Sus scrofa: one gene and its partners. The protein of the gene in region 1 interacts with the protein of each later gene in a pairwise test. Links are inferred from orthologs where the notes say so. Each region holds a gene or a part of one and is shown on either strand. Other genes may lie near its edges.

The links. The genes of interacting proteins can lie anywhere in the genome.
Region 2: the proteins of PLSCR1 (region 1) and MVP interact in a two-hybrid assay, tested with the Homo sapiens proteins (2 studies listed by BioGRID and IntAct). The link is inferred for Sus scrofa from reciprocal best matches to the Homo sapiens genes PLSCR1 and MVP.
Region 3: the proteins of PLSCR1 (region 1) and ANXA11 interact in a two-hybrid assay, tested with the Homo sapiens proteins (2 studies listed by BioGRID and IntAct). The two-hybrid records come from large-scale screens. The link is inferred for Sus scrofa from reciprocal best matches to the Homo sapiens genes PLSCR1 and ANXA11.

The regions. Positions count from the first base shown.
Region 1 is NC_010455.5:86,856,980-86,861,544, reverse strand, and holds the start of PLSCR1 (phospholipid scramblase 1), read left to right. Parts: upstream 1-1,625; coding exon 1,626-1,698; intron 1,699-4,565. UniProt on the Homo sapiens protein: Catalyzes calcium-induced ATP-independent rapid bidirectional and non-specific movement of phospholipids (lipid scrambling or lipid flip-flop) between the inner and outer leaflet of the plasma membrane resulting in collapse of the phospholipid asymmetry which leads to phosphatidylserine externalization on the cell surface.
Region 2 is NC_010445.4:18,055,401-18,059,816, forward strand, and holds the start of MVP (major vault protein), read left to right. Parts: upstream 1-1,300; 5' UTR 1,301-1,953; intron 1,954-3,092; exon of another isoform or gene 3,093-3,259; intron 3,260-4,416. Other genes in the region: PAGR1 (PAXIP1-associated glutamate-rich protein 1), read left to right, coding at 1,101-1,300. UniProt on the Homo sapiens protein: Required for normal vault structure. Vaults are multi-subunit structures that may act as scaffolds for proteins involved in signal transduction. Vaults may also play a role in nucleo-cytoplasmic transport.
Region 3 is NC_010456.5:81,833,673-81,838,320, forward strand, and holds the start of ANXA11 (annexin A11), read left to right. Parts: upstream 1-1,532; 5' UTR 1,533-1,801; intron 1,802-2,088; exon of another isoform or gene 2,089-2,474; intron 2,475-4,648. UniProt on the Homo sapiens protein: Binds specifically to calcyclin in a calcium-dependent manner. Required for midbody formation and completion of the terminal phase of cytokinesis.

The DNA.
Region 1 (4,565 bases):
TAACTTGTTGACAATATGAAATTCCTATGGTGTTTGTAAGTTATTCTAAGTTGCATTTCACAAATGTAGAAATTCATCCTTCATATATTCTTTGGTCTACCTGACTACTTGCTCATTCACTTATTTTCCTCAGTGTATAAATTCCCCCTGGAATTACTGAAACATTTCAGGATCATTGCTCTGATACCAAAACCCCAGAGTTTATGAACTAAGAGGTGCCAAACTGTGATATATCATTTAAGGATGGGTCTTGAAGTCACACTTGCAGTGTGTTTCCTTGAGATCTATTGAGTCTGATCCTTTTTTTTCAAGCTCAGGTTGGGAGTGGGGGCTGTGGGCAGAGCCTCGAGAGCTATAGAACTAGGAGCTCAGCCACTCACCTGAAGCCAGGAAACAGAAGGGATGGTTAGGATGGAATGGCTTTTGATACTGCAGAAATATGTGGTAATTTGGGGTGTGCTGCAGTGTCTGTACAGGGAAAAGCCCTGAATGAAGTGGAGGATTCTCTGTCGCCTGAATTTGCAGTATCCATGGATCCCATTCTGCTGAAGTTACTATGAAGTCAATAGAATGGAGGAGGAAGTGGTGGGGGTGGGTCACAACCCAGCCTTCCTTCCTTCAAATCACATGAGTTGAGTGGGTTTTGAAAGCCCATGACTGGCCCATGATAGGAAAGCATACAGGAAATGTGCAGATTGAAAGTGTCATTAACTTTATCTTCCATACTGATGCCATGTCCTCATGATTCAAAAAGAAACTATTTTTAATTTACATAGTTAATAAGTCATAACAAAGAGAGGACAACATGGTATGAGGACAGTGTCCACGAGACCATAAACTCCATGAAGGCAGAGCCAGTGTAGCCATAGGGATGACACAGGAGATGCTAGTAAATATTTTTCTGGCTGGGGCAGTTGTTAAAGGAATGACTAGAAAAACACAAATATGAAAACTGGGAAATGGAACTATTCATACATATATTATTCAAACCACATTGATTAGCAGATACTAACATAAATTACCATGTTTATTTATTGTAATTGTCAGTTATGATTTTTGTATGACAAAATCAGTCAAATACTGGAATGTCCTATATTCAAACTTCATAGTGTAGTTCCAGAGTACGCGTAAAAAGGGAATTTAAATACTGAAGTATATGTATGTTATATGTATTATTTTAAATAATTAGAACATAATTCTTCAATCAATAATTATAGATATCTTTAAAATCACCTATAATCCTTGGTTCCACCATTCCCACATCCAGCTAGTTTCATTTATCTTTTTCTTCACAGTCTACATGTAGTTTAAAACAATCTATCTTTTCTAATAACAACAAAATCAAGATATGGAAGAGAATACTCATCAGGCATTTTTGCAAACTAGAAATTCAGCCCCAGAACTTAGCTGCCTATTTTATCCAAAGGGAATTTGTTTGAAACAGTATTCTACTGCAAATTAATTCTGATAATAGGCACAGCTTTTTTCAGTGAATAATTCACTTTCTTTCAATACAACACAGGCGTATATAAACAAAAATTCTCTAAGAACAATGCATTTTTCTTTCTAACATGTACTTTTTAAGAAGATAAATGTTTACCTCTCCTTGAACTGCAGATGCGCAAATGAAGGCTCCTTATCCGGGAACACACTCACCAGCTCAGAATCCCCCTGAATATCCTTCAGCAGGATTCTCAGGTAAAACATTAGCTTAAAGAATAAAAAACCAGATTTCCCCTTGTGGCGCAGTGGAAATGAATCCGACTAGAAACCATGAGGTTGTGCGTTCGATCCCTGGTCTTGCTCAGTGGGTTAAGGATCTGGCGTTGCCGTGAGCTATGGTGTAGGTTGCAGATGTGGCTCGGATCTGGCGTTGCTGTGGCTGTGGTGTAAGCCTGCAGACATAGTTCCGATTAGACCCCTAGCCTGGGAACCTCCATATGCCAGGGGTGCAGCCCTCAAAAGACCAAAAAGTAAAAATAAAAAACCAAAATGTATCAATTACTGATATTCCCAAAAGGGTGTCTGTCTGTCTGTCTCTGTGTTAAAAGTGCAGTGATGAAATTGGCAGCATACATCTTTCTTTGACTATATATTATCATAAATATCATTGAAATATTTTTTATTTATACAGGATAGTAAAGGTGTAGTGTTAATAACAGTAGTGAATTGACATTCAGCAAATAAAATATAAGGTCACATATATATTAAACCCCAAAATACATACATTAAGTAAGAGATTTTACTGAGTCTCCATTTGTTCTGAAAATTATGGTCATGCAATCATTTTTAGGAAATTTATCTCTGGATGTTTTTGAGTCATTTGTCATCTGGGGTTAATTGTGTTCAGTGATTGTCATGCAGAAGATGACTGGTTAAACCTGGAAGCTGCAGGCAACAGAAAAATAGCTACCTAGGATAATTCTCATTTTTATTTTGTTATACACAAAAATGTAAAAGTTTCACTTTTATAGACATAATCATATCTTGCTTTTCTTTAAAATTTTAATTGAAGTATAGTTGATTTACAGTGTTCTTTCAATTTCTGCTATACAGCAAAGTGATCCAGTCATATATATATATGTATATATATGTATATATATATATATATTCCTTTTTCATATGATCCTCCGTAATGTTCTAACTCCAGAGAATGGACGTAGTTCCCTGTTCTGTACAGCTGTACAGTAGTTTCCCACTGTGTATCCATTTTAAATGTAATAATTTGCATCTACCAACCCCAAACTCCTTGCTTTTCTAAGAAAAGTAACTGGATCATATCACTATAAACCAAGGAATACATTATTTCTTTTGAACCACTGCCTAGGAGGCTTCAGAGATTTTCATTTAAACAAATGCAGTTATCAACATTACCAGAATTTTACCGAATGACAGAGTTCATGGTGCACCCAGATTTGCAAGTAGGCAGGGTACCCACATCTTGAGAGACCATCCTGGGGACTTAGGATCAAAAGGAATCTGTTTGGGCAGAAGGGTGTATGCATTTTGATTCTATTCTGAGCAAATAAATGTGCTCGGGAGATGGATGGATTGTTTACCCATCTAGCCAGAAACATCTCAGTGTAGCCTGGATCTCATCCAGATGTTTGCATTTTAAAAGAATGTGGAGTAAAAAGACTCCAAGACTCTAAGGTGATAGTTCTCAAAAGTGCCTGTACTTAGGTATTACTTGCAAACTGTTGAAAACATTAGCATCAGGGCACTATCCCAGGAAAACAGAAGCAGAAGCTCTGGTTGTGGACCCCTGGGATTGGTCACTTCTTTAAATTTCTCAGGTGATTTAAATAAGCAGCCAGAGTTGAGAATTGCTGCTATAAATTTTTATGTGATTGGTATTTGAAGAATTATAAGCAAATCTATGATATGCACCCAAGGCACTTGGAGGATGTTTTAACCCACCCATTAGCTAAGTAATAGTAGGTGATACATAATTAAATTAGATAATAATCAGAATTGAGAGATTGCAAGAAAAATAGCTCAATTTTATTTCTGAAGTCCAATAATATAGGTACTTTATGATAATGGTGCTAACAATGATAGACTAAAATTAAGAGTTTACTGTGCCTAATGTTGATTAACTAATTTAATTATCAGACAATCTTATGAGGTAAATACCATTAATTATCCCCATTTTTCAAGTGGGAAAACAGGTATAGAAAGACTGAATCAGGCTTCAAAATCTGACTTTTGTTCTGAATAGTTGTGTGGTAGTTTTAAGCAAGTTGCTGTAAGTCCAAGCCTCAGTTTTTAATCTATAAAATGAGCATAATATTTTCTAATTCAGGCAATTTGGAAATTAAATGAAACTATGTGTAGAACATCTAGTGAAATGCTTTACAGTTAATAAAAGACAAATATTTGCTATTACATTAATAATATGTTCACTTGGGCTTTATTTAAATGAAAATATTACCCAAATTTCAAGTGATTCTATAGGCCTAACCCAATGATTTAGGAAATAATTACCTTTTCCAAGAATCTTTTGAAGATTAAATAATGCTAATAATCTAACCATTTCATATCTCACCTTCACTGGCTTGTCTATGGTTTGATGTTTGCACTATAGCCAGTGATGTTTAAAAATACATATATTCATATTATAGGCAGTATCTAATGAATACATCATTGCTTCCTCTTGCATTCAGGATAAAGGTTTTGTTCTGGTCCACCAAACCCAAAGGGATCCTCTGTTTTCTCCTTAACTGCCTCTTAAGCCTGTCTCTTTTCTTTCAGATAGATTGTCCTTTTTTTTTTTTTCAGATTTTCAAAGCAACTGTGTTTGTTACTATCCCCTGCTGCTTGCCTCCTCAACTCCTTTGCATCCATTAGATCTCAGCTGAAGGTGGTCCTCAGGGACGGTGTCTCAACTCCCTCTCTCTCTCTCTCCCCATCCAAACACCTTCCTTTGGCACATGTAGTCACAAAACCCTGGTCTCTTCCTTCGAAGCGCTTGTCTCTGATTCTAGTTAGTTAACCACACTGGTGTAGATCCCTAGAGTAAGGGTGAGTATGAAGTTCTTCTCTCATTAGGCAGTGGGACAGGG
Region 2 (4,416 bases), on another chromosome or scaffold:
ATTCTCCGAAGGAGGAGTTCCTGCTTGGTGCAGTGGATTAAGAATCTGATTGCAGTGACTTGGTTCACTGGAGAGGGACGGGTTCAATCCTGGGCCTGGTGCTCTGGGTTAAAGGATCGGGCGTAGCCTCAGCTGTGGTTTGGATTCAGTCCCTGAACTTCCATGTGCCATGGCTGCGGCCGTTAAAAAAAAAAGGAGTTCCCATTGTGGCTCATCGGAAATGAACCCAACTAGTATCCACGAGGATGCGGGTGTGATCCCTGGTCTTGCGCAGTTGGTTAAGGATCCGATGTTGTTGTGAGCTGTGGTGTAGGTCGCAGATGTGGCTTGGATCCCGAATGGCTGTGGCTGTGGTATAGGCTGGCAGCTGTAGCTTTCAACCCCTAGCTTGGGAACTTCCATGTCCTGCACGTGCAGCGGTAAAAAGCAAAAAAAAAAAAAAGTCTTCCAAAGGATTTTATTGCTGGGGTGTAAGAGCTTATCAAAATGAGAATCCAGGAGTTCCCATCGTTGCTCAGTGGTTAATGAACCCAACTCTCATCCATGAGGACACAGTTTCCATCCCTGGCTTTGCTAAGGATCCCAGCATTGCCAAGGCTGTGGTGTCGGCCGGCAGCTACAGCTCTGATTCGACCCCTCGCCTGGGAACCGCCATATACCGTGGGTGCGGCCCTAAAACAATTTAAACAAAGAGAATCCAACACACACACTGTGCCCCCACCAAGGCTTCCATTTAAACAAAGAGATCCGTACCCCTTATCGTGATCTGTGAGTCATTTCTTGGGCCTCATCTTTCCTGTCTCCCCCAGTTCTGCATTTGCCCTTGAGCAGACCTCCCCGTTCCTGCCCTGGGGCTTTTGCACTTGCTGGTGCCTGCCTGGGCTGCTCTTCCTAGGTCTTCACATTACCTGCCCCTTCTCATACGTCCAGCCTTCACGGCCCACCCCATCTGAGGCCCCAGCCCTACACCACAGCCCCTCCAGGACAGGCCTAGAAGTCGCTCTGTTTCCCGAGCTCCTCAAGTGAGTCATAAGATCCCAGGAAGGTCCGGGGCACAGAACCTCAGTCGCGCCCACATTTCTCTCCTTCCCCTTCTGCAGGAAGCTCAGCCCGGAGCCAGAAACGGGAGGCCCGCCTGGACAAGGTCCTCTCGGACATGAAGCGGCACAAGAAGCTGGAGGAGCAGATCCTCCGGACCGGCAGGGACCTCTTCAGCCTGGACGCAGAGGACGCCAGCCCCCCCAGCCCCGCGCTCCGGGCCTCGGGAAGTAGCCTCTTCCCCAGGCAGCGCAAGTACTGAGCGCCTCTGCCTTTAGGGTGCAGAGTCCTGACCTGCTGGCCCTCCCTCCCTACCCCGGGGGCGCTGGGGCACCTGGGAGGAGCAGAGACCCTGCGAACTCCCAACACAGCACCTTACCAGAAAGAGGACATGTGTATGTGTGTGTGTGTTTTCTATGGAACCGTTGTTTGGACACCTGGGCTGAATTTTCTGAATCTAAAATAAAAAAAGAAAAGTAGCAGGTTATCTTCTCTTTAGAGGAGGTACTGCCGCTGGAGCACACGCAGGCCTGGAGAGGCAGAGTCGGACCCACCCTGATGGGAAATGCCAGCCAGAGGGGGGAGAAGCCAACTCAGCACCACCCCCCCCCCCCCCCGCCGCCGCCCTAGGCCTTGGACCCCCTCCTAGTTTCATTCCAGCGCTGCCAGCTGGCTCTGAGGCGGGCATTCCTGAGCACTGAATGAGCTGCAGTGCCTTCAGCTGCAGTGAAAGCCTCCCACAGGAGAGAAACAAACCCAAAAAACTCAACGAGAACCAGCTGCAAGGGCCCTTTAAATGCCCAAGCCCCACCCCTGCGCCTGGCCTGCCCTGCCGGGAAGTGATCCCTAGGGCTGGGTGAAGGCGGCTCCCTCTCCGAGCTGAGGCGTCAGCTGCAGCCAGCCACACTTCTGGATGTAAGTACTCCGTCCTGGCTCCCAAAGCCCCAAACCAGCTGGCGGGCCCTTGTCCCCCACCCCCAAGACCTCTCCCTAGCTCTGTCCTGCCTTCGCCGACTCGCGTGGGCTGGGGCAGGTGGCTTTAGAACTAGAGCCGGGAGAAGGTGGGTGGAGGCTTGGCCTTGGGAGATACCGCTGGCCTTGTTTTTTCGGGCTTCTGAAGGCAAAAGGCAACTCATCTGACCCCTCGCCAAACCCCATCTCAGGCCTCTCGGACTTTGAGCTCCCACATCCGCAGTAGGGGCAGGGGAAGCTTCACGGGTCCGTTCACACCCCCTCCTGGACTGAGACTGGTCCCTGCTGTCCTCATCTTTTCCCTCCCCCTGGGGACCTGGGCTCTGGTCGCTCCCCTTGAGCTCTTAGAACGCGCCCCCCGTGGAGGTTCCTCAACCCTGCAAACGCTGAGGTTTCCACCACTACCCCCCTCGGCTCTGCGCACGGCGGGCCTTGCAGTTCATTTGAGAGGTCGTCGGCAGAGTAATCTTCAGATAGGCTTGATTTCTAGAAGGCATAGATGAGGAAGGTGCTTTTTCCTCTTCGGGACAGGGAAGTGAAAACAGGCAGCTCTTTTGGACCTGCCAGCCCAGTGACTCTGGAGACCTCAGAAGCATGGAGCGTTGGGGGATGGTAGTTGAGGCAGGTGCCCCGTTTTCTCTTCCTGTTTGGGTGGGCCCTTAGAATTTATGGGGGGGGGTGTCGCAAAGGGTGCCAGGTGACTCCTAGAAACTTTTGCCTGTCTCCACCCTTGGCACCTAGTACACCCACCACCCTCCCCGGAGGTGAGGCTCTCTGGCCAGGGCAGCTCTCTAAAGCCATGAGCAGGCAGGACAGCCCCTGGGAATGGCTGGCCCAGAGGCCAGAGGGCCCTAAAGTAACCCAGGCCTCCTTGTTGGGTGCTGCCCTCCCAGGTTGCAGAGAAGGCTCACCTTTGATCTGCACTGGCACTGTCGCCTGGAGACCTCCCAGCTCCACCCAGGTCCTTGTCAGAATCTTAGCCACATTTATGTCTGCCTGAGAAGCCATGCTACTTCCTCGGGTGGAATTCTGGCTCCCTCCTTGATCGTTGTGTGATCCTGAGCAAGTGCCTTAATTTCTAGGTCCTTGCCGAGGATTAAACAAGCCAATTAAAAGCATTTGGGAATTCCCTAGTGCCTCGCCAGGTTAAGGATCCGGCTCTGGTTATAGCTGTCTCGCTGGTTCAATCCCTGGCCCAGGAACTTCCACATGCCCCGGGCGCAGCCAAAAAAAAAAAGCATTTAATATGGTGAGTGGCACAGATTAAGTTCTCAATAAGTGAGAGCCGTTATTTGGGGGGCACTTGCCAAAGATAGAAATTCTGGAGTCTCTCTCCTGGAAGCCTTAGCCCAGTGGGTTTGAAGTGAGGCCTGCTGGGAAGCAATACTCCCAGCTGAGTCCTGTGATTGGGTGATTGTAGAAAACATTGATCTGGATCAGGGGGTTCTGAAGCCTGGTTCCTGGGTCATTTCCAATCTAGCCAATCCTCGCCTTCAATGACTGGCATTAATTGGAAGCATCTGGGAGGCAGGCTAGACATAGGCCCAGAAAGGAATTCCCTTTGTGGCCCAGCGGTTAATGAGCCCATCTAGGATCCATGAGGATGCGGGTTCAATCCCTGGCCCCGTTCAGTGGGTTAAGGATCTGACGTTGCCGTGAGCTGTGGTGGAGGTTGCAGACAAGGCTCAGATCCGGTGTTGCTGTGGCTGTGGTGTAGGCTGGCAGCTGCAGCTCTGATTCCACCCCCAGCCTGAGAGCCTCCATGTGCCAAGGGAGCAGCCCTAAAAAGCGAAAAAAAAAAAAAAAAAAGAAATAGGACCAGAGGTAGACTGAGCTGGCAGAGCTTTTCTGTTTCCAGAATAAGCTGCTGTTCCTGCAAAGTCACCCGGTTGGACTGGAGTTGAGAGATTTTCCTAGGAAGTGCCTAAAACTTTGTCCCTGAAAGTAGTGATTTATGTGAGACATTCTTGGGAATTTTCGCCCTGATCTCCCACAGCAGGAAATATTTGCCCTAAATTGAGAAGCTCTCAGGTGAAAATGGCCCCTCTGCTGTCCCTGAGTAAGTAAGTGTGACTCTGTCATCCTCTAAACAAAGCCTAGAATGTCTCAGATCAATGAAGGGAAAGGGCGAAGATAAGGTCCTGTTTGTGCCCAGTTTCCTGTGCATTTTCTCAAACCTAAACTTGAGAGAGGTGATGGTGCCAAGACTGTCCCCAGCTTCGCTTCCAACTTCAGACCTGCCTGGACCGAGAGCCCAGGGCTTGGGACAAGGGGACCTGTGTTGGCCGAGGGCTACTTGGACCTGGGGGCGAGGAGCTAGAGGAGATAATACTTGAACCTCTCTGCTTTTGAGGACAGGCTGCCATCCGAGTTCATCTTCCATCTCCCACCTCCCAGCCACGCTTT
Region 3 (4,648 bases), on another chromosome or scaffold:
GAAATATAACCCGGGGAGAGTCTCCTTGTGTCTCTGACCCTCCACTCTGTTTCCTCCGAGCCTTTGGCCAGAATTTCACCCTTATCCGACCAATCATCTCCAAAAAATGCAGTCCAGCCGCGAAAAAGGGCCACGCCTTGGGGGAGGTGGGGGTGTTGCCTGGATCCCCAGGGTAGCAGGGCTTGATTGAATCCTGCAAGAGTGCGCGCCTTGCGCCCAACACCCACCCCCAGCCTGGTACCCTGCCGCCCCGCCCAGCCCAGCCCCACTCCTAGCACTATTACAATGTAAATCGGACCAGCAGCTCTTTTTTTTTTTTTTTTTTTTTTTTTTTTTAACAGCCCCCCAAAAGCAACTACCTTCCTAAGGAGCTAAGTATTAAACAATGGCTACACGCGAGATCGCGCATGTTGTGTACTGATTAAATAAGAACCAGGTTGATCTAGCTGCGCTTCCATGAAAAGGACCTCCAAGATATTGAGTTAAAAAGCACGTCGCAGAAAAATACAGCAACACCGTTTTGTAAAAAGTATATCTATGTGATATAGGAAAGGCACGCCTAAGTTGGGCTGGGGGAGTGAAGAGTGAATCTCAGGTTTTTAAAAATATTTAAATGTTTATGTAATATATATTATAAACATTTGTTAAATAAAAATAAAAATATTCACAAATCGCATGCGTGCATGACCCTTTTTAAAAATAAATTTAGAATTGTTTTAAATCTACAGAAAAATTTCAAATAGAAGGTTCTCATAAACACCTTTTTTTTTCTATTAACATTTTCTGTTGGCTTGGTGTTTTGCTACAATGAGCGAGTCAATACTGATGCAGTATTATTAACTTCACTCAGATTTTCTTAGTATTTAAATCTAATGTCCTTTTTCCAGGATCCCATCCAGGATACCATATTACATTTAGTTTTCATAATCTCCTCAGGCTTACTCCTGCCTGTGACCATGTGTGTCTCAGACTTTTCCCTGGTTTTGATGACCTTGACAATTTTAAGTAGTACTGGTCCAGTATTTCGTAAAGTATCCCAGAACTGGGATTTGTCTCATGTTTTTCTCATGATTAACATGGGATTATGTATTCTTGGCAGGAAGACCACGATAGGTTCATACCATCACTATTGATTTATCATTCTTGATGCTGACCTTGATTGTCTGGCTTTAGTAGTTGGTCGCGGTTTCTCCTCTACAAAGCTACTCTCCCACTCCAATTTCCATACTGTTGTGTTCTTTACTTTAAAAGAGTCACTAAGGAAGGTACTCTGGGCTGGAGGGGGCTTGGGGAATCCGCTCCTCGAGAGTGAGACGCAGGGCAGGACGGACCTCAAGAGGCGTGGAGAGAAACAGCATCATGTCGACCTCTGGGCGACCGCTGAGTACTCCTCCCGCAGCGGCGGAAGGCCTGTAGCTTCCTTCCTCGCAGAGGCAGCTTACAGCCAGCTGACCCCGAACGTCTTCTCACCTGGGGGCGGGAGCTGGGGGCAGACCACGCCCCTCGGCACCGCCTCCTCCCGCCCCTCCCCTGGCGCACGCGGCTCCGCCCCGGGCGGATTAGGACCCCGAGCCCTAGGAGTTTTCCGCCTCGCAGGCTCCTCCTCCCGCCCCGCCCTGACGGCTGCGGAGCCCGCGGGTCCCGAGAGCCCCGAGAACCCCGAAAGCCCAAAGAGCGGTAGTGGGACAGAACTCGAGGCCAATCCGAGGTGCTACTCCGGGACGCCCGTGGAGAAAGTCGCTGCTGCCCGTGTTCCTGTTCGACCGTCGCGGCCTCCCCTACCCCGGTGGCCAGTGGCCAGGTGAGTGAGGGTTCTTTGACTGCCGAGGGCACGGGACGGGGCGTTGGCCAGGCGCTGCGGCCTCTACCGGAAGGCCCCCAACTGTCCCGCGCCCCTTCCCATCGCGGCCCCGTCGCTTCCTGGTTGCACAGCGTTTGGGGGGGGGGAGGGAAAGGGGCGGGTGTCGGGCTGGTCCCGACCGGCTGCGTCGACGGCGAGGGGGCGGGGGGTTGCCTTCCTTGTCGGGTGGGTGGGCCACGTGATTGTGCTGCTGTGCCGGTGTCAGGGGTTCAAGCCGAATTTGGGCCGGCTTGGGACCGGGTGAACCCGTGACAAGAAGGCGACTGGCTGGTGTGGGCATGGACGGTGGCCATGGCCCCTCTGACCCCGCTGAATTCTCTAGAGTGTGTGTACCCTTCCGGGAAAGGCTTGTCCTGAGGAGAGCTAGTGGAGGACGCTGTCTTAAGCACCTTTCCTCCGGAAGACGGAAATACCTGGGAGCTGCTAGTGTTGGAATTGATTTGTAAGGCGTTTTGAGAGAACGCCGGATCCATCTCAGGTGCTCTGCTGACCTGTGTGTTTACCTTCTCTATCTGTCTTTCCTCCATCTCCAACCTTGAGCTGAAGTTTCAGGGAGGGATTCTTGACTTTAACTCCCTTTGGGCTCAACCCAGCCTCCTGAAGTTTTAAAAAGGTAAATACGCGTCTGTTGGCATAAATGAGGGTTATGAAATTCATCAGCTTGAGACTTTGAAGAGGAGAAGCTAAGTCAGCCAGTTTGAGCCCAAGCTGAGAACAGTCTGCCTGGCACATTTCTGTCCCTGCCCCCTCTAGTCAGTGTGACCTTTCTTTAGAGGCTGGGTGTTTTAGGACAGACCCAGGGTGTCTGTGGTAGCCAGCCACTCTGCCTACCCTCCGTGCCTTCTTCACTTTGCTCTCTGCTGCTTTAACCTGGGCATGGAGTGGCGCTGGGTGGGGTGAGCCTCTGCCCTGCCCACACAGCAGGAACAAAGCTTTCAGGCAGTGCCAGGCTGAGTCCAGGAGCTGGACAGGTGGGCTGTATTATCTTGCTCACTCCTAACTGGCTCTCATTATGCTCCTTTGTTCCTTCCTTGTTTCAGTCAGCTGTTGGGGATTCCAGTAGGATTAACAGGGCCCCTTCCCTCAAGGCACTCTCCATGCTACAAGGTGTTCCTAACAAGATAGGCCAGGCCAGGTGAAGCGCCAGGGCAGTTTGTTGCCCTGGCGTGGGGTGCTTACTACCTCCTGCATCCCTCCTGAGTCTCACCTCTCGTTAGTCTCTGTGCCTTGGTTTCCTTAAAGTGGGGGTAATAATACCTACCTACAAGGCCATTGTGAGGATTAAAATGATTTAATATTTTTAACAACCATATAGCTCAGGCATTGATCTGAACAGGTGGTGACTGGTGCACCATACCTGTGTGTCCCAGGTGGATGTCACCCAGATTAGACATAAAGCTTGCAGTGGAGCCTGGCACATAAGTAATCATCTGTAAGAGTCAACAATAGTAATATAGTAATAATAGCTACCACTCCCTCTATGCAGCTGAAGGTCTAACAGTTGAATTGCTCCTTCTGACCTCTTCTGTCTTAGCTCATGCTGTTCTACCCTCCTTCCCCCATTTCTGCCCATTATTCACCACCCTCCTAGGGACCATCCAGGTGCCTGCTCCTAGCAGGAAGGGGCAGAACACACTGTGAGCCCACGCAGCTCTCCTCTTCTGCTCCTTTGGCCCTATTTCTCAATATTCACCCTGCAGTAGTAATTGTATAGTCTTATCTCTACCCCATCCTCTTGTCTCTGGTCTCACAGCATCCAGGAGAGACCTTGCCTAATTTAGGTCCTTAGGGGATGTTAGTTAAGTGAAAGAAGCAGGCCAGGGAAGTGAGTTGTTAAAGTATTATACCTTGGAAGCTGAAATTAGATAAGCCAAAAAAAAAAAAAAGTGGGGAGAGTGAGATACAAGCAAGTTCAGACTGAGAGGTGAGCATAGGAACTGGCCGAGCAACCAAGTAGGAGTCCCCTTGGATTCCTTTCTGTAGTCAGGACTAGGATGGTAGATAGGGCTCATCCTGGATTGCTGTACCTAGAAGGCCAAGATCGATTACTGATGCCTTGGCCGCGTGACTTGGGGAGGATGGGAGGTTTGGAATGACAGGAGTGAGAATTGAGTGTGGGTTTTTCTTGGGAATTCATTGCAGAATAGAGGGGGAAAAAAAAAAAAGCCAGTGTGGGCAGGAGGTGAATGTAGAAACAAAATCTGTGCTGAGCACTAGATGTTCAGAGGACCCTCTCCTTCCCCCTCCATCCTTTGTCTTCTCAGCTGCATCTTTTCCCTCTTGAACCTGAAGCAGTCCCTGGCACTTGGTCCCCTGGAGGGCACTGGGGGAGGAGTCTATACCTAGGTGTGTTTCACAGTCACAGCCAAGCAAACAGACTCAGGTTTCTCTGGATTTTTCTCTACAGTACCTTGTGAACCTATTGCCTGCAGAACATCAGGAATTTGAGGGATATATAGATAGTGAAGCTCTTGGGGAAATGAAGAAAATGAAGTTTTCCTGTTGGAAATTTGCTTTTTTTTTTCTTTTTAGGGCCACACCCACGGCACATGGCAGTTCCCAGGCCAAGGGTCAAATTGGAGCTCCAGCTGCCGGCCTACACCACAGCTACAGCAACATGGGATCGAGCCATGTCTTCGACCTACACCACAGCTCACAGCAATGCTGGATCCTTAATGCACTGAGCGGGGCCAAGGATTGAACCCACATCCTCATGGATAGCAGTTGGATTCATTACTGCTGAGCCACAGTGGGAACTCCTGGAAATTTGCATTTTTAAAAGAAGGT